Linked DNA regions of Lepisosteus oculatus. The protein of the gene in region 2 purifies or fractionates together with the protein of the main gene of each other region. This does not show direct contact. Links are inferred from orthologs where the notes say so. Each region holds a gene or a part of one and is shown on either strand. Other genes may lie near its edges.

Evidence for each region.
Region 1: the proteins of OTU domain-containing protein 1 (region 2) and flna purify together in Homo sapiens (affinity purification with mass spectrometry; 3 studies listed by BioGRID and IntAct, with this or other methods). This does not show direct contact. The link is inferred for Lepisosteus oculatus from reciprocal best matches to the Homo sapiens genes OTUD1 and FLNA.
Region 3: the proteins of OTU domain-containing protein 1 (region 2) and keap1b purify together in Homo sapiens (affinity purification with western blotting; 3 studies listed by BioGRID, with this or other methods). This does not show direct contact. The link is inferred for Lepisosteus oculatus from reciprocal best matches to the Homo sapiens genes OTUD1 and KEAP1.
Region 4: the proteins of OTU domain-containing protein 1 (region 2) and flncb purify together in Homo sapiens (affinity purification with mass spectrometry; 3 studies listed by BioGRID and IntAct, with this or other methods). This does not show direct contact. The link is inferred for Lepisosteus oculatus from reciprocal best matches to the Homo sapiens genes OTUD1 and FLNC.

What each region holds. Positions count from the first base shown.
Region 1 is NC_090697.1:66,961,713-66,970,088, forward strand, and holds the start of flna (filamin-A), read right to left. Parts: upstream 3,445-8,376; 5' UTR 3,207-3,444; intron 1-3,206. UniProt on the Homo sapiens protein: Promotes orthogonal branching of actin filaments and links actin filaments to membrane glycoproteins. Anchors various transmembrane proteins to the actin cytoskeleton and serves as a scaffold for a wide range of cytoplasmic signaling proteins.
Region 2 is NC_090701.1:54,987,758-54,995,692, forward strand, and holds the start of OTU domain-containing protein 1, read right to left. Parts: upstream 3,538-7,935; coding exon 2,131-3,537; 3' UTR 1-2,130. Other genes in the region: c6h10orf67 (uncharacterized protein C10orf67 homolog, mitochondrial), read left to right, coding at 3,864-3,985, 5,529-5,774, 6,870-6,990. UniProt on the Homo sapiens protein: Deubiquitinating enzyme that specifically hydrolyzes 'Lys-63'-linked polyubiquitin to monoubiquitin.
Region 3 is NC_090706.1:16,416,262-16,424,310, reverse strand, and holds the start of keap1b (kelch-like ECH-associated protein 1B), read right to left. Parts: upstream 3,234-8,049; 5' UTR 3,127-3,233; intron 2,694-3,126; exon of another isoform or gene 2,589-2,693; intron 1,332-2,588; exon of another isoform or gene 1,288-1,331; intron 1-1,287. UniProt on the Homo sapiens protein: Substrate-specific adapter of a BCR (BTB-CUL3-RBX1) E3 ubiquitin ligase complex that regulates the response to oxidative stress by targeting NFE2L2/NRF2 for ubiquitination.
Region 4 is NC_090702.1:40,730,111-40,738,680, forward strand, and holds the start of flncb (filamin-C), read right to left. Parts: upstream 3,536-8,570; 5' UTR 3,092-3,535; coding exon 2,722-3,091; intron 1-2,721.

The DNA.
Region 1 (8,376 bases), on a different chromosome or scaffold from region 2:
TACTGAACTCATGTAACTGGGTTAATGAGTAAAACTCGGTAAATGCATCAATTAACACAATATACATGTCAATCCATACACAATATACAGTACAGAAAGCTACAAACCGCTCCCACTCCTTGATGTTATATGAGAATGAGTTTTAAATAAATCCAAAAAGACAAATCATTTTAAAAAAAATAATGTGAAAGTGTTTAAACCTGTTACTTAAATCTCTCAAAAAGTATTACAACTTAATATCACCTTTCAAACCCATAATATTTTCTTATGCTATAGTTAGCAAATAAACCCAATTGTGGGAACAGACATTTCGTCTTTAAACAAGAGATAACGTTAATTATTCCAAATTGTCACAGTTAATACTTCAGTGTAGTACTTCTCGGCAGTGAAAGCAAGACATCGAGGTTTCGAGATGAGATGGAAGGAATGTAACAAGGGGCATTTCTTTACAAGGAGAAGCTAGTAGTGATCTGGAACTAAGTTCCCAGAGACTTATTGATGAATCCGACACTCGGGAATTCTTTTAAAAAAGACGCCTGGAGGCTTGACAGCAACTTCAGCAACAGATGGTGCTGTATTGGCTCAAATCTTCGGATAATATTTTGTTACAAACTTGTGTTTCTCGGGGCAGCGCTCCAAATTAGTCTCGTTTAACTGTGTTGTTCTTTTGAAGGCATCCTATAACAAATACTAAAGCTAATAATTTTCACTGTGCATTGTCCAGTTTTGCAAATACTCCGGAAGTCCTGTCGCCTTGACAACAGCCAAACTCTACGTCAGATCACACTGCGGGCTATTCGTCTTTATGTCTCAGGACATTCTACCACAGTGTTGAAAGAGAATATGAGCAGTCCCGTTCAAACAACTGCCTAATCCTGCACAGAATTCCGCAGTGATATTGCATTTTCTCTGAATGTGATTTCCCAACATCCTGTATCCCCCGAATTTAAATATCTGGCAAAACCATTATGCGGATTTCTACACCCATACTTAACGCGAGTATTAGGAAAGTCTTGTTGCGCAGGAAACGTATTCAATATCCCTGGGCAAATTCCAATTAAACCAATAATTTAATGGTATGTATCATTACAATAGTATGGATTTATCGTTGGTACCGGTATATTAAGTACGCAGAACTGTGACGTACGTTAATGTAGTTCAACAACACGTTATGGCATAATTCAGCAAACAACAGTCGCGGAAGAGTTTGCTACTATCAGATCTATACTGAAACACAACTGTTGACCGAATAGCATCTAACATCTTTTTTATTGTATCACTTACTAGCCGACATAAAAACGCGTACAGTAGGTATACCGTGATAGTTTCTATCACAAACATGATTTTTTTTTATTTCTACCATAGCAAGTATATAATAACTACTAGCTAATGTGTCAGGAGTTTAAGAGTGATGTGTGCTGCCATGACATAGCCAACGGAAGCACAGTACTGTAGAAAAATATGGGGCATATCAGTAATGTTGAGCGATATCACACGTCTCGACCTGTAACCGTGTTATAGCTATGGCGCTGCAGTTTTCTGCATCGCGCTACCTCTCTCGACACACGGACCACACCCTTTTATTTTCAGTACGCGTTTCTTCTGCAGAAATTTTCACCAAATGCTCTTCTTAAGAATTTTAAAAATACACCCCACAAACAGTCAGTGACCCAGTTTTTGCAGCTTCAACCGCAAGGAAACGATACATATCCTGTCTTCGGCTCACAGAAATGAAACACACTGATTTGAGTTTACCAAAACATCTCATCCTGTAGTTTCGTTCTAACTGTGGCTGGCATGGCATGGGCGTGATGAGTTCTTTTAACAACTTTTATATTAACCATCGTTTCATGTTGACATACTGTTCTCTGCAACTTGGACACTGTTGTTTTCAAATTACACTGCACCTAGCCGTTGTCAGCCTACAATTAACTGAAAACATTTTATAGACGTGTTTCATATTGCGAACTTCAAATCATATCTCTACTCTTATCACTCATTTAATGCAAATTATTGTTTTTTTTATTTTTAAACTGCCCCACAGAACTTTATTTACTTATTAAACATCTGGAAAAATTGCACCAACCAACACAGTCAATTCACACAGTCCGCCCTGGAAAATTCAATAACATACACTATGAGCAGTTTTTTTTTTCTGAAAAAAGATAAATAACTGATACTTACTTGCATATGGTGCACTAATGCACAGAATTTAATCTAGAGGAATGGGGGGTGTAGTTTGTGTACTAACCATGCCTGAAACGATCTGACACACAAACAATATAAAACAGTCAGGAATATATAACAAAAACGGCCAAAAGTCTACATTAAGACTGAAATGGTAATAAAAAGCCACAAACATTCAAAGTATAACGTTCATTCTTTTTTATAAAATATTCCTTGATTTCATGTTGAAAAACGGTTGTTACCACTAGTGGGCGCCACCGTCAACATCCAATATTCCCGATTAGCAGAAGCAGATACATAAACTTTTTCATAGTTTCCCTTATTTGGTGAAGAGATTTTAATTAGATTACATGACTGATGCATTAAAATCATGTTATGCGCGGAGGATACAAGACACCTGTAAATGCACTCCACTTCAACAGCAACTAATAATAATGACATTACGACCAGATAAACAATTGTGCACATGGAATATTTTAATACATCTATATTGCAACCTACGGTGCAATTGATATGGCAATGCACCATATCATGCAAATTTGTATAAGCGCACTGTCATTTGTAGCTGACATTTTTCTATTTAGCTTTCATGAGCACATTTAATCGTCATAAAACAAAGATTGCACACAAAGCATCAGCTTTTCACAAATCAACTGCTTCCAAAACTCCAAAGATAAAAATCAAATAAGGAATAATTACTCTTTACAAACAACGACAAATCACAACACCAGATTAATAAGACCCTACAATTTAAAATATAAGCCCTTCCATTTTGACCCATATAACTATTTGATTGTTTTGGCAATTTATCAATCAGTCCCATATAATTACTCATAAACAGATTTCTGACAATGGCAGAACGTAAAAGAATTGCTAATCATTAGACTTGTGATGCGCCGTTACTTACGATAGCCGCTGTAAGACGTAAGACAAGCAGTTCCCAAAATGTGAATTTAAAATTAAAGCGCAACGTTGACAAGCCCGCTACTAAATATGTGGTTAAAAGCTGCAAAACTTACTCTTTTTAGCTTTGTATTCGATTGGTTCAGCGACCGGAGGCACACCGAACAATCTCTTTCAGGTTTGCGTTAAAAGTTGCTCTGTGTTATAGCACGAAATGTTCTTCCCTCCCCAAGTGCTTCTCTTGGGGAAATGAGTTCGTATTCCTCGACAGACGGGAGAACAGAAGTGACACCCTCTCGTTAACTCTCTCCCTCTCTCTCTCTCGCTCTCTCTCCCCTTTGCGTCCTATTTAAAATCCTTAATTGGTAAAATATCAAATGTGAACAGGGCTTTTTGAGTGTGTGTGTTCTGCAAAGCTGACGCGTGAGTGGAACCCCGCCTTTGGATTTTAAAGGTATGATGTCACCCCGTTCGGCTCTCATATACAACTTTAAATCCATTCTAGCCCTGTGGGATGTCAGAAAGCATTGTGTGAGTGTTTTACTGCATTAAAGAAGGGCACTCCTTGGTCAACTTGAACTCCCTCTCTCTAGCTTAGAAGTGAGCTCAGGCATTTGGTCATCCGCCACGTAGGTGTTGCAAGAGCATGCAGAATTGCAGACTGCCCCGGGGTGAGAGAGTATGTTAGAGACGTTTGTGGGCTGAAGTTTGTATACTGCATCGAGTTTGAGTAGCTCATGTTGGAATAAAATGTGTGTGGGGGGGGGGGGAAGACAGACAGAAAGAAAAAACTCTTTGAAGAAAGATACTTTAGAAATTAAGAGAAATGGTGGCATAGTGGCAAAGTGGTTAGCATTACTTCTTTGCAGTGCTGGTGCCCTGGGTTTAATTCCAGACCTGAGGTGCTATCTGTGTGGAGTTTGTATGTTCTTCCCGTGTTCATGTGGGGTTTTACTCCGTGTTCTGGTTTCCTCCCACAGTCCAGTGGTGTGTGTTTGTGTCTGTCTATGTGTGCCCTGCAATTGGACTGATGTCCAGTTCAAGATGTATACCTGCCTTTTACCCATTGCTTGTCAGAAAAGACACCTGCTCCCTTGTGACCCTGAACTGGATGAAACAGTTAGAACTTGGTATTTTTTGGATGGCTGGATTAAGGGAAATTTTAGGTGAGAATCCTAATTAGTCATAGACATATCTCCCTGCAACCCACTGAAGCTCAGCAGGTGTGAGCCTGGTCAGTACCTGGATGGGAGACCTCCTGGGAAAGCTAAGGTTGCTGCTGGAAGAGGTGTTAGTGGGGCCAGCAGGGGGCGCTTACCCTGTGGTCTATGTGGGTCCTAATGCCCCTGTATAGTGACAGGGACACTACACTATAAAAAGGCGCCGTCGTTGAGCCAAGACGTTAAACCGAGGTCCTGGCTCTCGGTGGTCATTAAAAATCCCATGGTGTTTCTCAAAAAGATTAGGGGTGTAACCCCGGTGTCCTGGCCAAATTTCCCATTGGCCCTTACCAATCATGGCCCTCCTAATAATCCCCATCTGTGAATTGGCTTCATTACTCTGCTCTCCTCCCCACTAATAGCTGATGTGTGGTGAGTGTTCTGGTGCACTATGGCTGCCGTCGCATCATCCAGGTGGGGCTGCACACTGGTGGTGGTGGAGGGGAGTCCCCATTACCTGTAAAGCGCTTTGAGTGGTGTGGCCAGAAAAGCGCTATGTAAGTGTAAGCAATTATTCATTATTATCATTCATTGTGGCTGCATACAGTACACACTCTAACACCGAAAGGTGTTCCTCGTTCAACAGGTGAGTAGTTTTGCAATGCACTATGGGTCGCAGATCTGTGGGAGTCAGTGGAATCCTCTCTTTCAAAGGGCCAGGACAGTCTGCAACTCAGATTAAGTGACAGCAGAGAATCCGAAGTATCTCTGTAAAGTAATGCAGGAGCTAGCTTGTGTACCATTCTGTTGCGGTTGTATGCAACACAATATTACTGACCCTGAGCAACAGACATGTCTGTTTTCTGACTGCAGGGGAAAGGAGATCTGCACAGGAAGCATGACTGTCAGAGCGAAAGGAGGCAGAATGAGGTTCTGTTACACCAACTCTACTGCTAACCAACCTGCTGCCGCCAAAATATTTGTATGGTGACAGTACCCACTCCTTCCAGACATAGTGCATAGGACCTTTTTACTGTATGTACATGCCAGTTGATTAAAATATAAAAAATAAGAAAGTTAGGACATGATTATCCATAACACTTTTCTGCTTCATTGTCTGGAATATTCTGTAAATTGATTTACCGTTCCTGCCTTATGTTGTGGCACAGTGTTTTTTTCCGGCACTCAACTAAAAAACTTTCTCATCAAATTGATCTCCCCTTTAGTCCTCATACTCTGGGAATACTCTGTCACACAACACTATACTTCAAAGCTTGGCTACATCAAATTACAAGGTGTACTTAAGTATGACTTGCCAATGTTACTTAAATTAACTTTAAGAGAAAAAAAATGTTACCTGCAGAAATTCATTTACTTTATTTTTTTAGTTTAGTTTGTTTATCACATTTTAAATCAATAAGCATTATGATTCCGGAATACCTTAAAATATATACAGTAAGTTGACCTTGACAGCCTGATGTTAACCAAAATGTCAAACAATGCAAATTTCTGCAACTTTGCTTAGATAGTCACATCATGTCAGGCAACAATTATGGTATTATTTATTTCCCTGGGTGACAATTACATTTTTGTGCTGAAAACATGCACTACTGTATATAAAAATCAGTCAATCATATAGCAGTCTTAATGTTCATATCAATAGCCGACATCAATAACTGGTTGCATCTACTGCATAATATTATTTTTTAAAACAGTGTGAACATGGGAAAGGTGTATAGAATGAGCATTATTGTTCCATGGATAAATTATGAGCATGGATCATGGGATTTTATAAAAACACTAGAAATGAGTTGATGAAGAAACTGTATTAATAGTTATTCAATAGGTATGATTTTAATTATCAAAATAAAAATAACATGAAATATACAAGTGTACCCTGCTTGGGCAGTAAAGACTGTGTGGATGCTATTAGAATAACTGAATTAGTCTGTCTTTGAGAGCAACTCAACCAGCAGACTAGTCCAGAGACACCAGGGAACCGGCCGTGTGAGAGACAGACCATGTCCTGGAAAACAGGGTCACCATACCTACCCAGAACCATTACACTCATCTCATCCTCCTGCATAATACTTTTCAGACTGCATTGGATACAGAAGATATTCCAGGAAGAAATAAATAAAGAATCAGCTGAATGATTGTAGCTTTCCATATTCACGAAAATAATCGGTCTACTTGTCCATTCATGGGTAGTACATTGAGAAATTAAAATGTCATCTTCTGTGTACCAAAGAATGTCAGCGTTGGCTGCAGAGAGAGTGGAGGTGCTGATGTTTTGTTCACAGATTAACTCTGTTTAACCCTTCACAGATCTGACAGAAGATAATGCATAATGATGGAAGTGTGAAGATATAGAAGGAAATCTGTAAAACAAGATTTGTGTCAATGATACAAAGTTAAGCCAACAAATAATTTATTCCTGCATGCAAATCTGCAAGTGTCCATTTTTCAGCAGGATGTTGCAAAACCATAGACTAATAGAGTTATAATTTGAAGGAATCTCTGTCAAAGTCGTATAGTGACCATTATTTTCTCCTGTCTTGATACCAACAGAACTTTCACTTTCATTTAATCAACATGAGACAACTGTGAGTGACAAACATTTTCCAGCTAGCTGCAGTTGCACAGGAAGAGTGACAGAAAAGTGGGCAGCAGTGTGCTTTAAACAGACTTTAGACTACTTTAGTACTAAGGCTCTGACTTACCAGAATTAAGTGATTTTCTAAAAATGGATGGATATATAGGAATGATGTTATCCCAGTGGTTCTGATCACAATGTCCAGTTCATTCGTATTCTAAGAAATAGAATGCATTGTATTTTCTGTTGTGTTCAGGAAGTACCCCAAAATTTGTATGTGATTCACAGTAGTGAGATGGGTCGATAGCTCTTAAGATAATCTAATGGTTATTAGATTTCAGGATAGAAGTGAAAGCTTTTCTCCCGATCTTTGTGAGTCTGTTACATTCTGGTCAGTATTGAGAATATCTTATTGAACCGGGTGTCTCCCCAAGTACAAAAGGAAGGCATATAGAAAGTACAGGTGTTGAGGAATTCTCCATTTCTGTGCAGTGTATACTATGTAACTACATGGAATGTTACAATATTTATAAAAGAAGGTCAAAATGCTTGAAAGACCAGGCATTACAGGGTGCTTATGAATGTGCATTGAGGTCACAATAAAGAAAACACATACTGTATGATGGATAGCTATATGAAGATCAGAAGGGGCAAGGCTAGGATAAATATCTATGGTTCTAAAATAGCAGGTTAAAGTCAAAGAGATAGCAGAAGTCTCTTCAGTTTAGACTGAAACAAAGCAAAGGTAGGGTACACCCACAGGATTGTATGGAAAAATGCTGTATTACGTTTATATATTAGCCACAAACCTGCAAAAATATATTTTATTAAATTATTGCCATTTAATAAATCAAATGTCAATAATACTTCTGAATTGTGCCTTTCAATTTGTTTCATTACAATGAGTAAGTAAACTATATTAGGAACAAGTAAAAGGTTTATTCCATGCTGAAAAGAAAAGAAAGGAAAGGCAATGTTTTGGCTGTGGATTCTATTGTTTACATTATTTTATTATATTTATATTTCAGCATCAGCATCAGCATGTTGGGAAAGAGAAAAAATAAGGACTGGGAAACAAAGCAATTTACTAAATGTGCTCCAAAGCTCTAAATGAAAGGTACTGTATGCACATGGTGAATATAAATTGTATCACTATCAAATAGTTGGACCATAACTGAATTAAATAGAGATATTCATTTAAATAAAATGGTGTCCAAAAACCATTTTGAAATTTAAGTTTCATTTTCATTTCCTTCATAAATCATGCAGCACATATTTAAAATAATAAAATGAAAACCATACACAAAACAATGAGTCATAACAAAAAGATTTATTTTTCTTCCGTTTTTTTCATTATACAAAAATAATGCATTTAGGATTATAAATCAAGCTTATTTGAGATAATACAACTTAAAACACTAAGAACTGAGATAAAGCCATTAAGGTAGAAATAATTCAGTGAGTATTAGACATCAGATCTTGGATGGAAAATATTCAGTTTTTGAGTTTTCCTTTTAAGCGACAATAAGA
Region 2 (7,935 bases):
TCAAGGAAAGTCAATTTACCAGTTTCAGATACAGAAATAAAACAATTTTAACTACACGTCTATAATTGACTGCATGAGTCAGTATTCTGAAGACAACTAAGAACCATGTAGGCAGGGGCAGAAGAAAACTTATTCTGAATGTTGTATCAACGCTGCTTGAAAAAAAAAGAGAATTATCTTGGCCCTTAACTGGTTTATGACCCAACTATTTCATCAGGAGTTGTTTTGCTCATTCTGACTACATGAAGTCACGAACTGAAGGGGGAGCTTAGAGGAATTCTAGGAATGAAAAGAATATATTCTTAAATCACAAACACCAAAAACAAACAAAAACATTTTAAAAATCTACAAACTGCCCCCAAGCTCCCTGCCAAAATTCAGACATTTCATAATCAAGCATTTCATAAACTATAAGCCTATACGTAACATTTAAGAGCAGTAATAGCTTTATTTTTTTTAAACTGTCAACTGCTTTTCCACCATCAACTTGCTACTGCAATAAAACATGTAATAAAAAGAATGTAGAACATTCCTTCTCTCCTACACAACATAGAAGTGAAGTTAAATTAGGGGGGGCTCCAATAAGGTGGATGCTGCACATTGGTGGTGGTGGAGGGGATCCCCATTACCTGTAAAGCGCTTTGAGTGGAGTGTCCAGAAAAGCGCTATATAAGTGTAAGCAACTATTGTTATTATTATTATAATTTCATTTTATGATACCAAAAAAGCAAGAAGAAAAACAGGTAACCAACTTGTGCTGGTTGTTCTTAGATTTCATATTGTAATGCTTACGGCCGACAAGCACTGTGTGTAAGAGCCGGCGTACCAGAGCGGGTGACGTCACCGCCCTTCCCTGTGATAGCAGGACTACAGCGACTGGGCTGTGGAGAGATCTCTCTTTAGCTCACGGGGCTGGGTCGCTGCAGAGAGACGCGGAAGTCCCGGGTTCGAGCCACCTATACTTTGGGCCGACCAGATGCGGCAAGGGCGCCCGCCTGAGCCCCCGTTGCGTTACAATATTCAGGTCAGGGTGCAATATAATCACTCATTGATAAATGCAATGCATAACTATTTTAAAACTAAAACATAGTACTGATAAAAGTCAACGTCTGGAAAACAGTAGGCTTTGTCCACACAGCCTGATATTTGGCAATACCGACATTTATCAGTAAGTGGAAGATTTGGAATTTTCTCTTGTGTGGGAATAGTTGGTTTTACCTCATTCGTAATATTTCACAACATTGTAATGACCTTGGCATTATTCCTGTCAGCTTTCACGTTGGTGGTGTCGAAAGTGCTCCTACCGCCATTATTATCATTAAAAATAATACATCACAAACCGATCCTCCCAAAATGAACAGCACAAATAGTAAAAACGAAACACCTTAAATCGTCCAGAAAAATTAAACCTTTACTTCAAAATGATAATGCAACCACGAAACAAAACTTTCAGTCTTACAATGGTACGTCTCCGATCCAGCAATCTACTTAGAAAAAAAATAGTATTTAAAAAAATAAGATTCAGATCTTCGATACAAAATACCGCGCTTTCAAGACAAGCAAACAGCCTGGAATAGAATGATCTTGCAGCAAAACAAGTGTTCGACCCAGCAAAACACAAAAAGGCAATTAAATAGACTCATTACGCAATTACCAATCAGCGGTTAAGTGTATAAAGTTTATAAATGTACACATATATAATTTCGCACACCTGAAAAATAAGTTGTCAAAAAACTGTTCTTTCTCTTCCCAAACTTCAGTCCTGTGCTTTATCTCTAGTTGGACTGGTACTAGTAACACAGTAATGTAAACTTCTTTCTTTGCGACCTCTACGCACAACGTAAGGAATCCGACCTGTGGATATAAATTCAGCACTTCCATACAAAAATAATGATAAAAAAATCTATACAACACGCAGGTGCACCGCAACCTTCAGTAGCTCCACGTGAATGCATTAAAAACATTCGGTTTAGAAAAAAATAAATTAAGGCAATTTCTGTACGGCATGTTGCATGCGTTTTAAAGTGCCATCAAACTGTGATTAAGGTGCCCTATTTCAGAAACATACATTTCGGTTTCGGACAGAACGCACAATTGTACGGTACGCCATCTCGGAACCCTAAGAGCAGGTCACGTAGATCCATTCTGCTCGATGTACATTTTGGACAGAGACGCCGCCATAGACTTGGCCAGTTCTTCGTCCCGTTTCCTCTGGACCTGCGCCTGCCTGCTCCAGCTCTCGTACTCCGGGTTGGGTAGGGGCCGGTCAAATAAGGCGTCGTAGTGTCCGTTGCTGAGCCAGCTTAGCCAGATGCTCGGCCTAGAGGGGTCCTCGTCGCCCAGGTAGTGGACCATGGTGGACACGGTGGGGCTCTCCACGCTGCCCCCGGTAGTGAGGTGGATGTTGATGTTCAGCATCTGGCCCATGGCGAGCAGCTCCGGATACCCAGCCCAGGCGCCGTCCTGGGCGGCGTTGATCAAGAACTCGCCCACGTCGCCTTCGATGATGGGGCAGAACTCGTCCAGGTGATCCGCGATGTGGTGCATCGTCTGCTCCCGCAGCTCTTTGTGCGCCGACTGGTTGCCGTACACTGCTTTGCTCACAGCCCTGTACAGGCAGTTCCCGTCGGGTATGACGTGGAACCTGTACTTTTCCCTCTCCTGGAGATACTTGTTCTGCTTCTCCACCTCGGCGAGATAGTGTGCCACCTGCTCGTTCTTCTCACCTCGGCTGCCCCCCACGCCGGGGGCGGAGGGCTGAAGGAGGCTGTCGCCTGGCGCTTCCCCGGCAAGGTCTGTGCCAGCGGGCTCCGTGCTCTCCTGGCAACGCCGGCCAACAAGCCGAGCTTCTGGAGACGCCAAATCCTCGCAGGCGTTTGACACCCTGTCGTTCAAAAGCGTGTCGGGCGCCTCGGCGTCGTGGGGACCCTCGCCCGGAGAGCAGGCGCTCTGGTGCCACTCGTGGTCCAGACCACTCAGGGCGCTGCCCTTCGTGAAACGCTTTCCGTCCGCTTTCCTGTCGAAGCTGATCATGTTGTGCTCCAGGACCTTCTGGTATTCGTCCAGCGCGCCCAGTTCGCCGTTCATCGTGTCGATTAAGTCCCCCAGCCACAGGGCGCTGGGCGAGCAGGAGCCCTTCGCGTCCAGAACCGGCGAGCTTGCCGGACTAGCGAAGTATGTTCCGGAGAGGTCTACTGCGCCACGTCGGGAGTCCTTCATAATCTGGACTGGCACGAACCTCTCCACCCCACCGGGCTTGGTAACCAGGATCTGAGCGGTGGAAGTGTAGTAGCTCGGCTTGCTCGCCGAGCTGGGAACTGGTTCATAACAGGAAAAGGCAGGCATCTTCGCGGCAGGCGCAGTCGTAGCCCCCGTCTCCTCCACTCCGTGTGCAGGAATTTGATAATCAGCGTTACTCGCGGCAACGGTGTTTGCAGTCGCAGTCGCTGGCGCGTTACCGTCAATATTTGCAATGGGAATCGAAACTTTGCAGGACGACCCGGGGTAATGTGTCAACGCGCTGCTGTAGAGCTGCATTTTTTTCCCAACCGCGCACCCTTTATATATGAAACGCCGAGGTCCCAGGTAGCCACACGCGATGATCCCGCCGCTCAAAAATAGCCAGTGTCATCACTCATCGCAGTCCGGGCCGTGAAGTTATTCCTGCGGCGCTCCTGATCCTAATTCCCGCTGTCACACACAGAAGATCCAACTTTAGCCATCTTGCGTCAGCGCTGAGCTCCGCTAATTATAGCCCGGAACAATGTAACCGGACCCCGGCTCTCTTCATATCCTCTTATAACAGAGTCCCCCCGGGCGCCTGCCCCGGCTGCTGACTGTGCAGCTGGAATGGGAACTATTTGATGTGTCACGGGACACTTTGGGGACTGCGCTCGGCTGGAGCTCTGTTTACCCCCCTAAAGCCTGTGGCGTCAGTGCGCTGGAATGCCAGACCCTCGCCAGCACTGACGGAAAACCATTACGCGTAAGTTACTAAACACACTGCGCTGACCTCAAGGGAGGTGGTGTTGGGGGGGGAGGAAATCAGGAAGTTCCGCCTCTACCGCGATCTTATTGGCTTTTATTTTTTATTTTTATTTACGCCGGCTTGCGGGCTTCACGGAGGGGAAGCGCGCAGAGACTGACACCAGCCTTTTGGCAAAATATCCCACGCTGACGGGGGTGGGCGTTCCCCCCTTGTGAAGTAGTGAGCATGGCCATAGTAATGCGCGTAGTGTTTCCACAACCTTTTGGCTAAAGCCGCGCTTTAAAAGACACTGCCGTCACCGATGGGCCATCTTCGCTCTGAACGGCATGTGCATCCACACGTCTATAGAAGATGATGGGCGACGGGATGTGACGCATTATTTCTCATGGGTGTCTCAGAGGGAAGACATTCAGCATCTGCTCACGTCATGATCAAACTAAGGACTACAGTGCGGTCCTGTATTGCCTTATAACACAGCCCTTTGCAGTTCTTTATGTTGACAGTTTTCCTTTTTTTTTTGTTTCGAATGTACCAAGTGATGTAAAACACTTTCCGAAAACCATAGCCTTGCGCTTGTCGGCTGGATGGTACTGTATGCCTTGCCCATCTGCAGTCAGTATGCTTCATTTTGCATTTGCAAAATAAAGACTGGTGTCACGCTGGATTTTGGGAAGACCTCGTTAAGTCCACCCATCAATTTGCTAACGTTTCCATCCAATTTAGGATCTCAGCAAGCAAAGGGCGCAAGGCGATAAAACACCCTGGGCGTGACGCCAGTGCCTGGGCCAGCCGATTGCAGGGCACACACACACAAACACAGATACACACACACCCACAGCAGGGTCGAGTTCCCCCATGAGTGTGGGAGGAAAACGGAGCGCCCGGCGAAAACCCACACAGGCAGAACATACAGACTCCCCACAAACTGCACCCCAGGCAGCCCTGGGCTGTGAGGTAACAACGCCAGCAACTTCACCCACTTTGTCAGTCGAATCGTTGTTATCATTTTAATTATGAAAATGCTCTAAATTCACAGGAGTTCGTTAGACAAAGGAAGCAGCGCAGAAGTAGAAAACATTTTAAAACTGTCACCACAGTTCTGCTGAACAATAGAGTATATTATACCATTTGTATTGTGAAGGATGGGTTTTTATTCCCTATTGTAAATGCTTCATTATTACTGAATTATTCAAACAACCTTCTAGCACTTTTGACTAGACTGCCCCATTTCTGAAATCCCTTTTATTCATAGGGATCCCTATCAAGTACAGTATAGTGATGTTACGGTTTTTATTATTTTTTATATAACTTTTTACGCGTTCATTTGTATTCCTTATTCCTTAATGCATTTCAAATAAGCATTTATTCTCAGAGGTTTTTCCGTTTCAGTCCCAAATGGGAGCCCGAATGAGAAAGTGTGTCAAAGAGCACACTGCGCCTTTCCTCCCTTAACACCACCGGCTTTGCACAAACGTAAATGGTCAGCGTACAGCGATCTGATCTGACTACATGACGGTGTGGGGTTTTTTTTTACAAACAGCAGCTTGAAACTTGTGTTTATACCGATAATAATCCTGAAGGAAATAAGGCAAACTGTCCGTGCCCATCGCTTCCTTCAACTCTATCCGGGTCTTGACCGCCGAGCGGGCGAGATCCGTCGCTATGGAAACCGACGCAAGCGGCGCCCCCGTGTCGATCACGCCGGTAACATGGACGTGCTTGTGCAGGGAAACTCCGAGGAGCAGGAGGAGAGACTGTATTCCTCAGAACTTCGGGATATCGAGAGGTATAAATCTTTGGTACTGAATGGGTTTTGATGGGTTTCAGTCTTTTTTTTTCTGTTGTCCGCGCTATTTCTGCCGGCAGTCGGGTTAAAATAAAAACAACCCCCCCCTACCGCCTCGCAAAGTGATGTTGTGCCTTCGGGTTCAGTTCAGATTATTTTTTATTTGGTTTTTACATTAATAACAGAATATTTTAAATAATATTAAACCTACATGCAATACAAATGATTATTTTTTTGTTCCATGCACTACAAGTATCATAGCTGTGATAGGTTACATATCGCATCAGGTTTATAACGTGTAGGCTTTAACTTTGTAGGATAGTTGTAGATATCACCCTGCAACTTACACCTGGCAGCCCACTGAAGCTCAGCAGGTGTGAGCCTGGTCAGTACCTGGATGGGAGACCTCCTGGGAAAAACTAAGGCTGCTGCTGGAAGAGGTGTTAGTGGGGCCAGCAGGGGGTGCTCACCCTGTGGTCCATGTGGGTCCTAATGCCCCAGTGATGGGGACACTATACTGTAAACAGGCACCATCGTTCGGATGAGACGTAAAACCGAGGTCCTGACTCTCTGTGGTCTTTAAAAATTCCAGGGTGTTTCTCGAAAAGAGTAGGGGCGTTACCCCGGTGTCCTGGCAAGTTTCCCATTGGCCCTTACTAATCATGGCCTCCTAATAATCCCCATCTATGAATTGACTTCATCACTCTGCTCTCCTCCCCACTGAGAGCTGGTGTGTGGGGAGCGTTCTGGCGCACTATGGCTGCCGTCGCATCATCCAGGTGGAGCTGCACACTGGTGGTGGTGGAGGGGATCCCCATTACCTGTAAAGCGCTTTGAGTGTCCAGAAAAGCGCTATATAAGTGTAAGAAATTATTATTATTATTATAATAATTATTATAACTGGATATTCTGCTGGAGAGTCTCAGGTGAAATATCTCGGTCCAACACCAGTGTGTCAAATGGGATGTCAACCTTCCAGTTACGAGCTGGACCACTGACCCTCCCCTGACCACTACTCCAAACACCAAACATTGTAAGATGTGTTAACTGTCACATTAATGTATTTATTTTTTCATTAACAACACGCGTTTAAAGGTACTCATTGGGAAATCAACTGAGATACGGTTACTTTGGAAGAGACGCCTCCACACAGACCGATGTCATTGAACTGCCAAGAGTGAAGGAGCTGTCAGAAGTCACCTGTACTTTACTCGAGGTAAAACTGTGCTCGTCACTGCTGAGACCAAAAGGGTAAAGTAATGATTATTAAGACATTTTCTTGTAGTCTAGCAAGCAAAATGTTTGCAAGGACATGTAAGAATGTGGTTAGGGGAAATGGATGAGGCGTACTTCAAACAGTCTAATTTAGTTCACATCCTAAAACAAAATCTTTCAATGTCGTGTATTATTACTACATGACTAGTGCCCCTTAGTCCATTAAACAGGATATTGTTATCAATCTTCAAAGGTTGTGGAAAGACCACACCATGTGCAATTTAAAGTCATGTGCACTTTAAAAAGTATATTTAAAGGTTCACCAATGTGTCTGGGTTGCTAATGGTGTTTGTTAATAGCGTATTTGTTTCCTTAAAATAATAATTTGAGGTTTTGTTGTTTGTGACGACTGGTGCTGCAGATTTGTCACTTGATCAAGGAAGTAGTCTGTTCCACTGCCATTGAAGTCAGCGTGGCTGCTTCTGGAACTGGCTGACTTCTCTGTATTGATGATGCATCAAAACAATAACTACTCTTTTTCTTTCAAGCAGAGAAAATTAACATTCAGAATTAAGTTTTCTTCTGCCCCTGCCTACGCGATTTTTAATTTTCTTCAGAGTACTGACTCATGCAGTCAATTATAGTTGTGTAGTTAAAGTTTTGTTTTATTTATGTGTCTGAAACTGGTAAATTGACTTTCCTTGAATTTGCAATCATGTGTTTAATCCTAAAGTTTCTTGAGACAGTGTCACCTGTTGGTCTGCCAACACCACTTAACACCAGCAGTGTAACTGGCTCACTTGTCTGTACTGGTGATGCAACAAAACAATGACTACTGACACTGCCATTGCCTGCTTCAGTAAAAGAAAGTGCTTCCATAATTATTGAGCAGTGCTTTAAAACGAGTAGCATGACAAAACAAGTAGCAGATACTGTACAAGTAAAG
Region 3 (8,049 bases), on a different chromosome or scaffold from region 2:
AGCTGGCTGTGCAGAGCATGCTGGGACAGTACTACAAAGCATGCATGAAAGTGGCTTCATGAGGAATAATGACAGCCAAGAAACAGGTGCCTTTGATTGACATTTGGCTCAGGCTGCATGTCGGTGCAGTGATTAGCATTGCTGCCTTGCAGCTCTGAGGTCCTAGGTCCTGTTCCAGACCTGATAGCACCTGTTTCAGACAGGTGCTATCTGTGTGGAGCTTGTATGTTGTTCATGTGGGTTTCTGCTCCGGGTTTCCTCCCACAGTCCACAGACATAGTGGTAATTTAATTGGCCCTTAATTGGTAGGTCAATTTCTACACAAATTGCACAGGTGTGTGTGTATTTTTATGTCTGTGTGTGCCCTATCCCTGTGATGGACCGGCCCCCTTCAAGGATGTACCCCGTCTTGTGCCTTTTGCTTCCTGGGATAGGCTCCAGCTCTGCTGCGGCCCTGAATGTGACAGAACAATTAGGACAGAAATTTGTCTTGGCCCCCCAGCCACAGGAAAAGGATGCTGGGACCCCCCCGGGAGAGAGATGAATGTGAAAAGTGGGGTCTGCTTATGATATATACAACTTTCAAGAACTGATGTTGAGAATGATTATGATTTAGAACAGCTGTGGCACAGAGTGTTGCCTTTCCTCCCATAGTTCAGTTAAGAACTCTCATTTATTAATCTTCTCTTCATCTAGTAAATAGGACATCTAAAATTGGACCTTCCAAGTCAGGACAAGCTATACAACTGCAAAGAAATGGGAGAGGAGGAATGGGCTGGCAAGTATTTCAACCAATCACCTTGTGAGTTCGATTAAGGATTCAATTAAGTAATTAAGCTTGTTTGGCATGAAAGTGAGCAGGTGTATGTAATTTATATCAGTCCTTTGAGAGCTTACAGCTGTGAAGATACAATTGTTTGGGCAGTGATCAGCACTCCAGGTCCTGAAGTGTCAAAAAAAATGTTTTTTCATTATACCTCAGCTCTTAATGGCTTGAGAAAAAATAGATTGCATAAAATAAATGAGATGTGTAATGATTCGTTAACATGAATAGGGCTTTCAAAACTTGCCAAGTCACAAATATATATACACATTTAAAAAGCCAAGTGTTTTCACGTGAAAATAAAACGTGCGTTCGTGTAATTAGCTGTTAGCGTGATCCACTCGTGTCTTAGACTGTGGGAGGCACTGGGAAATACAGTGGGCTGTCAGTGGGTCACGTAAACATGACCCAGTCCTCCCTTCTCATTTAATTTATATTAAAAGCAACATCGTTCAACATGACCTGCAACTTTCTAATTCCAATAGTTGGGCCGGATATAAGGAATCAGGTAGTGTACAGCTTCGTCATCTCTAGAAAACTGAAAAAATAAGAGGCGTGTGATTGTGTAAGACTTCTGTGTATGAAATAAGCATTGGTGTGCGGCGCATAAAGAATTTGGAAGAACAAGCATAAAAAAAAGACTTCAGTGGTTAAAAAATGGACTCGGTGCGCTGGAATATTTTTTGTTTTTCTTCTTCACAAGCGGGAGCTTTATGCACCATAACATATACCTGTAAAGGTCTAAAACTTAAGGCGATGATAGGTTATAGTGCCACGGTCAGGTTTACAAAACCAGGTCAACAAATGTTCGCGTTACAGCCAGTCTGGTGTAAGTCTTTATATTATTTAACCGTAGTCTATACAGCAAACCTGGCCTTTATTTTTAACGTCTCGCTAATATGAGTGTTGCATGTGGTTACTTATAATATTAAACAGGATAATACACAGGGTTACCTTGCAATAATGGCCTAGAATCCCCGGACTAGAGTAGAGATTTGTTACCCCACCCCGCGATACCGACTTCGCTTGAGAAAACACGCGTCCCCCGGTAAATGAAAAACACTGCTGCAAACAAGGGAACAGTGACACGCCTCGCGTTTATTTTTAATGTTCCGGTAATTAAAACCCGTCATCGAGTGTTATATTCATATGTAAGAGATATGAATCGAGACCAAGCTTAACACTGAAAAGGTGGAACACAAATTGAAAGTTTCGGTCAAAGTACAGTAATATTTTAATAACCGTTTCCTCTTTCGATGTAAAATTAACTAAACTCTGAAAACGAACGCAAAGGGTCTCTTCCATAATCTGGGACTATGGACTATGGAAAATAACTTATTTACTTATCGTGTAGATAATGGTTTTCCCACACAGAAAACATCCGATGGATGAGTTGAATGAGTTAACATACAGCAGTAAAAGCGGCTCAAATGGACCTTTAAAATATTTTAATTTGTGTCTACACCACAAAATGAGAGTGCAAATGTCTCCTCGCATCTAATAGGAGTTAATGTATAAAAACGCACGTTAGTCTGCGGTTCCAGAAGCTACTTAAATATGATCGAAGCCACTAAAGTTAACACTGTCACTTACACTTTGTTACGTAATGGTCTATTTTGTATGGGCTACACATCTAGCCGAGCCAAAACACTTTTAAGAAGGTTTGGATAAAAAAATGCACCGTTTCTTAAAGCATAGAAGCGGATCGAAAAACAAACTGCAATTATTTTTTGCATAAAATCCCTTCCCCCCCTTAGTGACTCACCTTTCCATGACCAGTTAGCGAAGAGAGAGACACTACTGATTACAAACTGTACCAGAGCGCAAACAACACTTCTCTGGACGCTACAGTACTTTAAGCAGTATAAAAAAAAGCGATCAGCCCTGTAGTTTTGTCATCCTGTTGCATAACCAACTGACAGTCACAAACACGTAAAAAAGACATCAGCGATGATGCATAGCGCTTACTATACTACATTAGAGTAATATTTCCACAGCAATGCTGTGGAATCGGTATTCATATTTTTCGTTTTTCATGCACCAAACTAAAACAGAAAAAACTCCAGTAATTAATTAGCTCACAAGCAAGTATTGCTTTGTTGATTAAGTATTCGCAGGCTCTTCTGACACCATCTGTGTTCTGCTACTGTAAGCTGTTTATCGCGGCTCGCAAAGCAAGCGTGTCTATGATGATAACATGCTTTAGTCACCGAGAACAAAAAGCCCGATACATCAGGAAAAACATTCAAATCGCAAACCGCGTTAAAAGACGCCTTCGCTCGATACAGGCGGTGGTTACTTACAGAAATCTTTTGTAGCACAAGACGTACATTTCTATCGCTGCTCAGTGTTTGCCGTGAATTTAGAGGAAAAAAGGGGGGGGCGGGCAAGAAGGGGGGGTTGAGGGAAGACGTAACTCACCATGACTAAGCATTGTACGGACCTTCTCGCTGTGCCAAAATAAGAGCCCCACCGCTAACAACTGGGGCTACCTCATGTTGGCAGAAAGGGAGAGAGACTCTTACGGAAGAGGACCAGGAAAATAATACAGAAGGAAAGGGGAAATATAGAAATGCCCTCAGCCCTGGCACTCAGCCTAGCCTGGTCCAGATTACATGAATGCAGTGCGCTATACAACTGTTCAGATCTGTCTTTGGTTGGAGAGAATAACAGCCCCTTTATGGATCAGTCATCCGTGATCGTGTGCCAAACATCTCTACCTTCCACCACGTAGTGACTGCATACGCTTTCGTTACTCTGTATTTTGTTTTTAATTCTGTGCTGCCATTATTGTATACCTGCGTCAAAACAGGAACTCCCCTTGAAGTAATTTATTGCCATTCGTATGCTGTGCCCAGCAGATGCCGTCATCGATTTGTCTTATTCAAATGGCAAAACTAACACTTTATTAAAAATACAGTGTATATATTGCTGACAGGGAGTGTTGTATTTGTCTAAGTGCGTACTGTACGTGTGACAGTTGCGGTTTTAAGACGCAAAACAGAAGATAATATTACACCAGCGGTTTTGAATGATCAATTGCGAATTACTGTCTATTCTTCTGTCTTCCGCAGTTGATCTTAGCTCGCGATCATTTAATCGAACCCCAGATTTTAGTTTCTTATCAATTGGACCTTTTTGGATTGTTTTCAGTCCTGGATATGTCAGATTTTTTTTTCATCACAAAATCTGCGAGTAACTTGAAAACATTGTCTTTGCAGGAGAAGAAAATGTCGAATATTGCTTATATTGCTGTGATGTGAGATCAGTTAAGCGATTGAAGACCAGCAGGTATTGGGTAGGGTGACACGTGACCAGAGCCGTGGACCACTGCTTTCGAGCACGCGTGTCCACTCATGGTCCTGGAAGGCTACTGAGTTTGCAGTTTTCCTGTTACTGTTCTTGTGTTGTAACTGGTGTTTTGTTTACTTTGACCGTTAAGCACTTTGAGAAGATTCTTTTAGGGCTCTATATAGGTTTATTATTATTTCATGCCCTGGAGTGCTGGATGCATCTGGGTGACACACAGTAATAATTATTAGTAATAATTGCTTACGCTTACATAGTACTTTTCTGGACACTCCACCCAAAGCGCTTTACAGGTAATGGGGATCCCCTCCACCACCACCACTGCACAGCCCCACCTGGATGATGCAACGGCAGGCATACAGCTATCAGTGGGGAGGAGAACAGAGTAATGAAGCCAGTTCATAGATGGGGATTATTAGGAGGCCATGATTGGTAAAAGCCAAGGGGAAATTCGGCCAGGATGCCAGGGTAACACCCCTACTCTTTTCGAGAAACACCCTGGGACTCTTATTGACCACAGAGAGTCAGGACCCCGGTTTTATGTCTCATCCGAAGGACAGCGCCTTTTTACAGTATAGTGTCCCTGTCACTATAGTGGGGCATTAGGACCGACATAGACTGCAGAGTGAGCGCCCCCTGCTGGCCCCACTAACACCTTAGTCATTATGTCCCAGCAGCCACGCAGCACAAATCAAATTAAGCTAGAGCTAGAATGAAGCTCTATAGATCAGGGGTCCCCAGTCCTGGTCCAGGGCACCCCCATACCTGCTGGTTTCTGTTCCACCTGCACACTCAATCAAAGTGTGCAGGTGGCTTAATAGACCCAATTATACGTTTAATTTGAACACTTCCATTGTTTTCTGTTCATAAACATGTTGTAAGTTGCCTTTCAGCTATTCTGTTTTGTAAGTAACTTAAGATCCACCTTTAGTCAGAAAAAAAAACCCATGCCAAGCAATTGGTTCAAATCGGGGTTGACCTGTGAGGGTCCCCAAGACTAAGACTGGGAATCCCCGCTAAAGACACAGTGGTCCCCCTGGGTTTGAGACTGGACTCCTCTGCTTTAGAGCTAAGGCTGTGACATGCTGACACAGGGGTGGGCATAATCTTCAGTGATGCAGCCCGTTCCTGGCAAGGATTCTGGGATTGCCAAGGGCTCAGACATATGAAGTGACACACGCTTGCATTTAAGCGTCTTTTAAAAATGGCCTCCAGAATGCAATTTTTTTTTTTTTGGAAGACGGTCTGATCACGTTAAATAATGTGTGGGTCCGGAGAATTAGAGAGAGGAATTCCGGGATGTACAGAAGCTTTAACTGAATCGTTGATTGATTTCATTCATTTTCATAACAGTCTGCTATTGAAGGGTTGTAGTTATAATAATAATTGCTCACACTTATATAGCGCTTTTCTGGGCACTCCACTCAAAGCGCTTTACAGGTAATGGGGACTCCCCTCCACCACCACCGATGTGCAGCATCCACCTGTTCACCATATAACCTGCAGGGCAGTGACTGCAGAGGAGGTACAGACCAGGCCAGATCAGAACAGACCCTGTCTTGTCAGTAGTGGAGTGTGTAGGAATAGGTAACGCTGTGTGGAAAATCTCCCTTTTGAGTTACTTACACTTATATAGCACTTTCTGGACCCTCCACTCCAAGCACGTTTTAGGTAATGGGGACCATAGCGCACCGGTACACTCACCACACACCAGCTATCATTGGGGAGGAGAGCAGAGTGATGAAGCCAGTTCATAGATGGGGATTATTAGGAGGCCATGATTGGTAAAGGCCAATGGGAATTTTGGCCAGGACACCAAGATAACACCCCTACTCTTCTCGAGAAACACCCTGGGACCACAGAGAGTCAGGACCTCGGTTTGCGTCTCATCCAAAGGACAGTGCCTTTCTACAGTATAGTGTCCCCATCACTATACTAGGGCATCAGGACCCACATATCCGGGATAGCCAGCAGAGGAATCCTACTCCGTTGGGCTCCTGAGCAAGACCCTTAACCCAAGCTGCTCCAGGGGCACCGTACAAATGGCTGACCCTGCGCTCTGACCCCAACCTTCTCTCCCTGTCTGTGTGTCTCATGTAGAGCAAGTTGGGTATGCGAAAAGATAAATTCCTAATGCAAGAAATTGTATATGGCCAATAAAGTGACCTTATAGACCACAGGGTGAGCGCCCCCTACTGCCCCCCCTAACACCTCTTTCAGGAACAACCTTAGCTTTCCCAGGAGTCTGCCATCCGGGTGCTGACCAGGCTCACACCTGCTGAGTTTCAGTGGGTTGCAGGGTGATATGGCTGCTGGCGAGTTGAAACAGGAATGTATCGGGCCTTTGGGATTTTGTGTTATGGAGTCCCAGATTCAGGATCCAGTATCTGTCCTAAATCTCTGGTCTGTGGGAAGGTAGCCTCTGGCCTGTTCCTGGATAAAAACAATCATGAGTGAAACGTGACTGGAATTATCTCTTTGACTTCCAGGGTCGATGTTACCTATGGTAAGCCTCCATAGGAGTACAGACAGTATTTATACATGGCCATCAGGCTTTCTTACCTGTTGCTCCGCGTCTACGCCAACGCTTCCTGCAAATTTATGTATCTTACTAAAAACGGCTGGTTTTAAAAAGAGTCGCCTGCAATTCTAGCGTCTACTTGTAGAAAAAAGGATGCCCACAAGGCGTCACTAGTGCGCCATGTGTTTCCGTTTATGAAATGTCTACAAATGTTTTTTTTTTTAATTTGCAAGAACCGTTCAATCGTTTTGAGTTTAATGACACGATCTACAATTCACAATCACAAAGACCGCTTCCTATGACAGGCTGACCTGTTATAGAGTGATTTTTCCAGCTTGTCCTCAAGAAATGTCATTTGCCGTGTTTTGCGTAGGGTAAGAGGGTGGCGGGGTGGTGCAGAGGTTAGCACTGCTGCCTCCCGGCACTACAGCCCTGGGGTCTTGGGTTCAATTCTGGACCTGGGGTGCTGTCTGTGTGGAATTTGAATGTTCTCCCCCATTCACGTGGGTGTCCTGAAGGCGCTCCAGTAGGTTAATTGGCTTCAGGGAAGATTGGTCCTGGTGTGAGTGTGTGTCTGTGTCTGTGTGTGCCCTGCGATGGACTGCTGTCCCAGTCTGGGGTGTATCCCGCCTTGTGCCTCTTGCTTCCCAGGACAGGCGCTGGGCCACCTTAACCCTGAGTTGGATGAAATGGTTAGAAAATGGGTGGGTGAATGGGGAAAGAACATGGACAACTGGAGATTTTGAAAGCGGCCTGGAAGTCTGGGGTTGCGATAGGAGGGGCCAACAGTTGTGATATTTGAGGTTTGTTTTAAAGTCATGTGTTGCCCATTTGTGTAATGAGTCGTCTTTGCTACACCTCCCTCTCCTGCTGCCCATTCTGAGGGCCCACCATAACTTAGTTCGTGGGTTTGGTCTTGGACTACCTAGGCTTGATTTATCCAGGTGAATCCCTTATACATCTGGCAATTTGTAAACAGAACCTGGACCCAGAGAGCTATATAGCTCAGGTGAACTGTGCGATTAAAATCTCGAGCTTCAGGAGCGGAGCCTTTCACGTCTGCGTCTTTGCTGTGTAATCAAGCAATATGCTGGTGATGGAAGAGTTGACATTTAGGCTGTATTTGAATGGCTGCCCTGATCTGCCTCGGGCCATTTCATGCCTAGGTAATGGGCATGCCCAGTTAAAACTCTTCTCATTTCACTCCAGCAACAAGGCAACGGCCTGTCCTTGCTTTGCATAACCCACATTAAGGCTTGTGAGGTTTGCACATCCACCTCTTGTCTTGGCAGTGCGAAAACATGCCCTGCAGTTCAGCTGTCTTTTTGTTTTCTCAAAGATTCATCAAAGCTGCTCCGCGTAGACTTTTTGGAACATAATTATACAACTAATAAAT
Region 4 (8,570 bases), on a different chromosome or scaffold from region 2:
CACATTTTCTTACAGATTTCTTAATCTCTAATGGGCACAGCAGTATAAAATAAAAAAATTAAATCAAAAGTCTAAACCGCAACTGAAAATGTTTTTTTTTTAAACACAAAACATTCTACTTAACTTTAGTTTAATACCATTAAGAAAAGGAAAAAGGAAATCTATAGTTTTTTTTTTATACTGAAATTTTCCACTGGTACTTCAATGTTGTAGCATAGTCACACACTTTACAGCTGACCTAACACAGCTGCAAAGTTTTGTTATAGGAAAACCAAAGCTTATAGTTTAACTAAAGCTTTTAGCTTTTAGGTCATGGGCTTCAAAACAGCATGATATCCATTAAGCAAAGGCACTCAAATGATATTATATGTTTCGTACAGTACAAATATATTGCAGACTATAATCGATTGCAGAGCACATAAAAAACTGTACTACATCCACCTATCCATTTTTAATAACTACTTTGTCCAGTACAGCATCACAGTGAGCCAAAGCCTAACCCAGGGTGAATAGCAGGATCAGCTTTGGAAAGGACGCAAGTTCACCACAGGGAACACACATGCATTTAACTTAGAGAGGCCACACAACCTAGACGGCATGTCTGTGAACTGTGGAAGGAAATTGGAGCTCCTGGAGAAAGTCCATGTGGCTAGAACATGCAAACTCCCTGTGGAAGGTGCTGCAGACTAGAATCAAACTTTGCACCCAAGACTTGTGAGGCAGTTAGCAGTGTTGCTTAACCACCAAGTTGCTACAGTACATAGGTTCATTTTGCTTTAAAGTGCAGCTTTAATTGTTGAAAGGTTCTGCCTGCCTTTTCTTCTCCACTGATGATCATTTAGTATGTCCAATAAAAAAAATGATGTTATTTAATTACTTAACAGGTTTAACATTAAGTGCACGTGCACAATGAAAGACTTTACGATAAATTGTGCCGAACGAAAAATACAACTTTGACCTAAGAGATTCCTGTTTTGGTTTCAGTTCAAATTCCACAAAACCAACATTTCTACGGACAAGTGTCATTAAAGACCAGCTTAAACGTTAACAGAAAGCCACCTTAACTCGGATACCTTGGGAAGGAAAGTAATTAACTGTCTCTTCAACACCTGATTTAATTATATATTTCTGAACTACATATTCTTTTTGTTTCTCTTTATTCCCACGTACTGTATGAAGGGTTTTTTCTACAGCATGTAATGTAGCAGATGATATACAGAAAATGTCAGAAGTCAGCAATATATCCAAGCTGGAATAAGAAAATTTGAATTTTCTTATTGAATTGTATTCTTTCGTGATCTCAGTAAAAATCACAAAAAAATGACTAACTAAAACTGTCAAAAGGGGATCCGAACAAGACTGGAAACAAAGAACATCTTTATTGGGCGCAAAGGCTACAGTTATTTTTCACAGGAGATGCCGGGGACTATTCTACGAATATTTATACTTAGTCCATTAACAAATTGTTAGAAAATTTAATTCAAATAAAAAGCTAGCAAAAGACAAATAACTGTTGGTTGAAAAAAACGAGTACCTAAGCATGCTCCTAAGGCGAAAGGAACCGTTCTGCTAATGAAAGGAAACATGTTAATAGTTTACCTTTTATATTACTTTTCCTATACTTTGTGCAAAACAATGGTACGTTGTCCATAATTAATAAAATAAACCATTCAAATTGAGGGTGTGCTAATACGTAAAAAGGCCACAAAAACACACTTACAAAAAATGAAAACCTTTATCTTACAGTAAATGTCAATTAAATGCTGGAATTTAATACCTCAATACTATATAAAGCAACAACAACATAAATAACAACATATTTTTTCTGCATTTTCTAAAGTACCCGCCGTCTAAAATAGTCATAATTTTACTTTTGTGTCGTAGCATAATTGGAGTCATGTTGAGCATTTTTTATGTTTCTGAAAAGTTTTAAAATCCTCAGTCGCAAATCTTCCACAATTTCTCACAGGTATTCGTCACAGACGAATGTGTTAACTTTTAGCAAATTAAGTATATCCCCCCAAAAATAATAAGCTGTAGTAATTAATAAGCTGAAAAAAACTAAAGAATAAATGACAAAATATTTTGGTCACATTTTAATTTTATACACAAACGACACAGTTAGACACTGTTTTATAAACCTAAGGTGTTACCAGAAGATGACATTTTCTTTATGATAATTTATTTATGAAGTTTTCATACACCAGGGCATCCTATGTAATCCATTATACAGTCATATTTCAGTGAATTAAAAAAATGTTCATGTATTTGCATTATATCCACAGTATATAGAAGTTTTGATTTAATGCCACTTTACTAATACATTAATTGCGTCAAAAGCGAGTGGAATGTTTCAAGGTGGTGCGATGTTAATGCACGTACTGTGTCCAACACTTGCTCAACTTTGTTTTAATGAGCATGTCAATCTTGGCTTATAAAATGGGCTATTACAATTAAATGAGTACGTTATTAAATGAGCCTCCTGATATTGATTTGAACATTTAAACTAAATGTATCTCTTAAAATAAATAGTGGGTGTGTTAAGGACAAACACATTTCCAATAAAGAAATTAAATTGTATTCTATGACTCAAGGACGCCCTCTAACTCTCTTCCAATGAACTTTCCCGCAGGAACAAAAATGTCAACTTTCTTTTGTGTGAACTCTGCAAACCAAAGCAGTTTTACCGAAGCTTCGGAAAAGTGACTACATATCGCTTACCTATAGATACCAGCTTGATGTGTTCTCTGTCTAGGAATTCCAGTGCCACCGAGACATTTTCCAGTTTCATCTGCCTGAAGTTGGGTCTGGAGTGGTATTTTCTGTACATTTTCTTTTGACTTAAAACCTCCAGCAGACCGATAAGTTTCAGCCCATCGCTGAGATCTTTCTGTAGATCGTTGATCCTTTTGTTGACACATTTCAGATGCTCGTTGCACCACCTGGTGAAGGTGTTCTGCTGGATTTTCTTCCAGGGTGCATCCTCCGCCAGGTCCTTTTCCGTGGCGGGCATCTCCTCCTGCTCTTCCCCGTTGTTGGTGCCCTGGTAGTACTGAGGCTGCTGCTCGTAGTAAGTATTATTGCTCATCATGGTTTCGGTCTCCGTGACCCCTTTTTATACCGCAATCAATGAGGCCAGTGTGAAATCTACTGCACGCAGGGGAGAAACAGGAAAAAAAAAAGTTTGGCAGGGCAGTGCCAGGCGCGCGCGCTCTGAAAAGTTCCAAAAACTAGTTTTTTTTTTTCAGAGCTACTTGTTAAAATGGTTGGGCTTGTCAAACCAAGCAGAACTGTCAGCAGAATGATAAATTAAGGAATCCGGTTTTCGTTTGGAAGGCAGGCAGTCCCCCTTTTTAATTGGCAATATTGTGAGAAATGTGTTAGCTAGTTCTTAATAGACACTATAGATTAGAGCAGGAGTATATTAAAAAGAAGAAGAAGAAGAAGAAGAAAGCTGCTCCTGGCGAGGAGTATTAAGAAATCAGCAGAGCTGCGTTAAGAGAAGCTTGTTAACTTGTGTGACTAAATGGAGGAACAGACAGGACAGGGGTTTAAAAAGATCTGAGACCCCTTTACAACGTCAGAGGGAAGGATTCTCCGGAATGTCTCTGCCATGACCATATACAACTAAAGGATGGGTATTTTTCTAATCCTACGGAGATAATAATATGTAACAGGATTGGACACTAAGGATAGCAGGGGCAATGATTGGCTAGCCCCCATGTGCCGCCGCGGTAGTGACAACTAACTTTATTTTTAGCCGCTCCAAATCAGGATTTCGGGGGCTGGCTGGAGTTTTTTGGGTTGTGACAGTGTGTAAGTGAGTGGGTGGTCATCAAAGGTTTATAATTGAGCTAGGAAAGGAAAATGACGGCTAGGTACACTGCGAAACCTACTGCATTTAATGTTACAGGTTGTGTTTGATCATATATCATGTATTTTGCGTAGGGCTCGACGTCTACTTAACTGTGCTCACAAGTCTACATTACAAGGTCGTTTATTATTAGTGTCTCTCTGCGGAGTAAGTCACATAAATTAAGACGAGTAGATACCCAGCAGCTGAGTTGGACTCATATTCTATTCTTGACTACGGGAAGGATAACACAGGAGAGACCACTTCTCAATAGGTTGTCTCGACCTCCCTTTCTTTTTAACATTAGGTATGAGGTCATACCTCGTCTTTAGAGCAGGGTTTCTCCAATTATTAACCTCTGACGTTAGCACAATACATAGGCCCGCAACTATGTGTCGCCTCATAGTGAAAAATTTCTCTTTAATAAACAAAGATGGGATCTGACAACTTTTACTGGTGAATTACTACTGTTGTATGTTCTTTCACTTGATGTCTCGGCAATTTCTAAAGAGAAAGGTCATGAGATTTTTATTGAGCGTGAGTAAGAACCACAAAAAAAATTCTTACTATGAAAGACATAAAACTTTTCTAGCAAGGATGTATAATACATTTCAAATGGTGTACTCCTGATACAGCCTGTGTAATTATTAGAACATTTGAAAGGCATGCCTGTGAAAGCATACAGCATCATAGTTTAAGTAACGCGAGAGCCTGAATCAAATGGTGGATTTACGAATCGTGTTAGAATATACTTATTTTAATTCGCTCATTACTACAATATTAGCATTTGTTTATTTCGGGTGGGAAAAAATTTATTACAAAACAAGATAACTTTAGATATTGGAATTGAACTTTGAAAATATAACTTAACAAGCTTGAAATCGAATGTGAGTCCTACACATTGTTTACCAGTAACATCTGATTTAACGGATAACACTTGTTCTATAGGTCTATAAACTTGATCTTCACACGAGGAAAAGGATACTCATACAACATGAGGACTTATCGATCCCTTGTGTTCTTAACCACGACCTACTGTATATTTTTTATTCAAACGTTAGACGGGAAATAGAGTATTTCACACTTTTAAAATACTTTACGATTTCTACATTTAACGGTTCTGAACAGTAATAAGGAATTGCCTTTTGATCTATTCTTTTGTGAAAGCCATGCTGTGTGTAACTTAAAATCTGTACGTAAAAATAAAAACAGCGTTGCTGCATTTTGGAAAAAATAACAATCCGTATAAGTTCAAGTAGGGCGTTTGAAGTCGCTGTAAAGAAACAAGTAAAGGTTAATTCCACGCTGAAAAGGAGAAAGAAACAACGTATCAGCTACGATATATTTGTAAATAAAGCCAATCAAATGTTACATTTTGTCTAAATAAATAAAAATGCAAAGCTAAACAGCAACAGACATAGGTTTCCCTTCTAGTTCCTTCTGGACCCCTGTCTGGGACCCTCTGTACAGCAGATGACTGTTGTTAAACCTATTAGAGTAAAAAAAAATAAACAACAAAACCTCCTTAACAGCAAAACAGACAATGGCGTTTGTTCACAGCCTGCCTAAACACTGAATAACCTTTTATCCCAAGTCACTGTACCAATCGCGATGGCAATAATAAGGTTGTATGCTCAACAATATAATGAAACAATATGGTTCTAGAAGGATACTTGCAGGTTTGGTATTAAAGATCATCTTCCGCTACTACTGAATTTTATGGAAATAAAATTAAGTAATTCCAATAAACCGGTATAAATGTATATTGCATGAAATCCTGAGAACATACCCCTTAGAACTCTGTAGGATCCTTGCAGGATTGTTATGAATGGCATACTCTCTGGGGAAATGATTCTTGTGAATGGAGATCCATAAGGATGTGTTTTATCACCAGTGTAGTTTTTGATCCACACAAATTAAATGCAGAGCAATGATGATGTTTTTAACTTGTTTAAATACGCTGACAACATGGCCTTGTTTGACCTTCTGCAGGGAAGTGAAAGGCCAGACCAAACACTCTTCTATGACAAAGTATTAATTCTTATTAACTGGTGCCAGTTTATTTAGGAAATAAACATCTTGAGCACAAACTAATTAGTACTACAATCAAGGAGGTTTGAGCCAGCTACACAGCTGATGCATAAAAATGGTCAGCTTGTGGAGATTGCTCCCTGTTTTAAATATCTGAGTACATACAGTATATTGATAATAAGCTAAAGTTCCTAGACAACACAGAGTACGTTTATAAAAAGTCATGAAGAAATTATATCTCTTGAGAAGGCTGAGGCGCTTGTATGTACAAATAGACATCCTAGAGTTGGCCTACACTAGTCTGGCAGAGAGCATGCTCTCTTTTAACATCTCCACTAGGACTGAACCCTGGACAATAATTTTAGTGCCAAGGATAGGGCCAAGATCTCAAGGACTATAAACATGGGCAGCAACATTAACCAAGTGGGTCTAGCCACACCTACTGGATCTCACCAAATCAAACCAAACATTCACAAAGCATATACAGGTAATGCTTGGATGTAGTTGTCCCTAATTAACTGAAACCTACTGATCTTGGTGAGAGTTGTGGCAAGCTATAGGAGTGGGACACCAGTCCATTCCAGATCCACAAAGGAAATAATTGAGGGCATTTTGAAAGAATTCTGAAAGAATGACAGAGCATGAGTAGTCTCAGAAAAAGACTTTACTGCAGTCAATCCAGAATGTCTCTGGAGGCTGCGAGGAATCTGGGGCACCTGGAGGAAATCCACACATACAGAGAGAGAACATGGAAACTCCACAAATAAGGAAGCCTAGGGGCCAGAATCAAATCCAGAAGACTGGAGCTGCAAGGCAGCAGTGCTAACAGCCACACTTACTGTGCATGCTGCCCACTTGGGGATCTCAATCAGTAGTAAATATCAGATATGAAACCAAACCCAGAAAGACTCTGTATCCTGCCTCCCGACCCCATGGCTGAGTGATCTCACCCAGCTATTCACTTTGTCATAGGAACCACAGGATCCTGTTGGGAATGGAAACATATGACCCCTTACAGATGTCATACCCAATTACTGTGATGTGGGTAAACTGCAAACAGGCTACAGTAATAGGAATTTCTCAGACTGCAGCAGATGAGGGCTAGGATCCAAAGGATCCAGGATTCAAACCTTCAAAATTAATGACCTTTAAAAAAATCAGCTTTGTTTAAAATAATCCTGAAACAATTATTCCGGCAATGCTGCATTTCTTATTTCTGGAACATTCCTGATGTGAGGGTTACCTGGATAGATTATTGTGAAAGCCAATAATCAGCTTTTATTCTACAATCCGTATTCGATTTAAGGATTTTGATCAAAATAAGAAATCTAAAACAATTTTATTAAAATATAAAGAAATATAAAGCAATTTTCACACCCAAAGAAGGCTCCACAGCTAAAACGTTGTGTTTTCTTTATTCTCTTTTCAGCATGGAATAAGGTGTTCACCTATTACTTGTTCAATTTTATTTATTGTATTTACTATTAATATCAAAGCATAAAAAGTAAGAAAAAAAGCATAAACTGGCAGTGCTTCAGCTACAGTATCTAGACAGGATTTGGAATACTGCAGAACAATATGGTTGGGTGGGTTCATTATAATGTCAGATTCACTTATTACGGCAAAGTATTTCAGCAGTCATGCACATCTTAGGCCCCTTCATTGGATAGCGTAAGAACACTAGGTTTTGTCTCAGTTTTTCTTGCTTTAAAGAAACTCATCATGCTTTAAAAGCTAACTGAGCATCTGGCACTGCATCTCACTGACACTAATTAATTTGCTATCAAGACATTGCACAGCAAATCTTGATTCCATATCAGTCATTCTAAGAACTAATCCAATGATATTCAGTCAATTTATTTCAAATTTTTATACCTGATTCTGCCTGTATCAGCTAAATAAACATATATAATTGTGATTATTTCACATTGGGATTCATTATAAAATCTGTTATATGATTTAACAGTTATAAATTGGCATAAAATGTAAATGTACTGTAATCTGTATCTCTCATAATTTTAGTTTCTGCCCACTGCCTTGTCTTCAGTCATAAAAAAAAACGTTTTAGATACATCTCTGTCCTTTTCTCTTCCATAACAATATGCTATACTTTTTATACCCTCACTGACATAAAGCTACTGCAGAGATTTAAGTAAGGCATGATGATGTTCGCCATTCATATCCATTCAATTTTTATTTTATCAGCTGTCCTCAGTTAAGTGTAACTTGTGTGAGCACACATCCAAATTAGTCAAAATCCAACTTGTATTGATCGTGGCTCATTGAACTCACTTATTTGAGAAACAGACTCCTGTAGAGAATACTTAAAAACTTGTCTAAGAACCTATGACATTTAGCACAACTACTATATATAACAAGCATTTGTTATATGTAAGCAGTAAATGATATACAGAAGTACTGGTGCAAGGAAACTATTGCTCATCATTCCTCATTTATATCCTTGACTTACTATCTTTCTTGGTATCTGTGCAGAGATGACCATATACTCCTTGAAAACATGTCAAAGGCTATACTGAGAAAGTCTTCTGACATCTATAGAGTCTTATCAGCAAATTTCTTTTTTGCTAGGAACACAGGACAGCTAGATCTGTGTTCACCAATGAAACTCAAGAACTTGCACATAAGAAATGTTGAAACACTTTATGACAGTATTTAGTAGGTACTG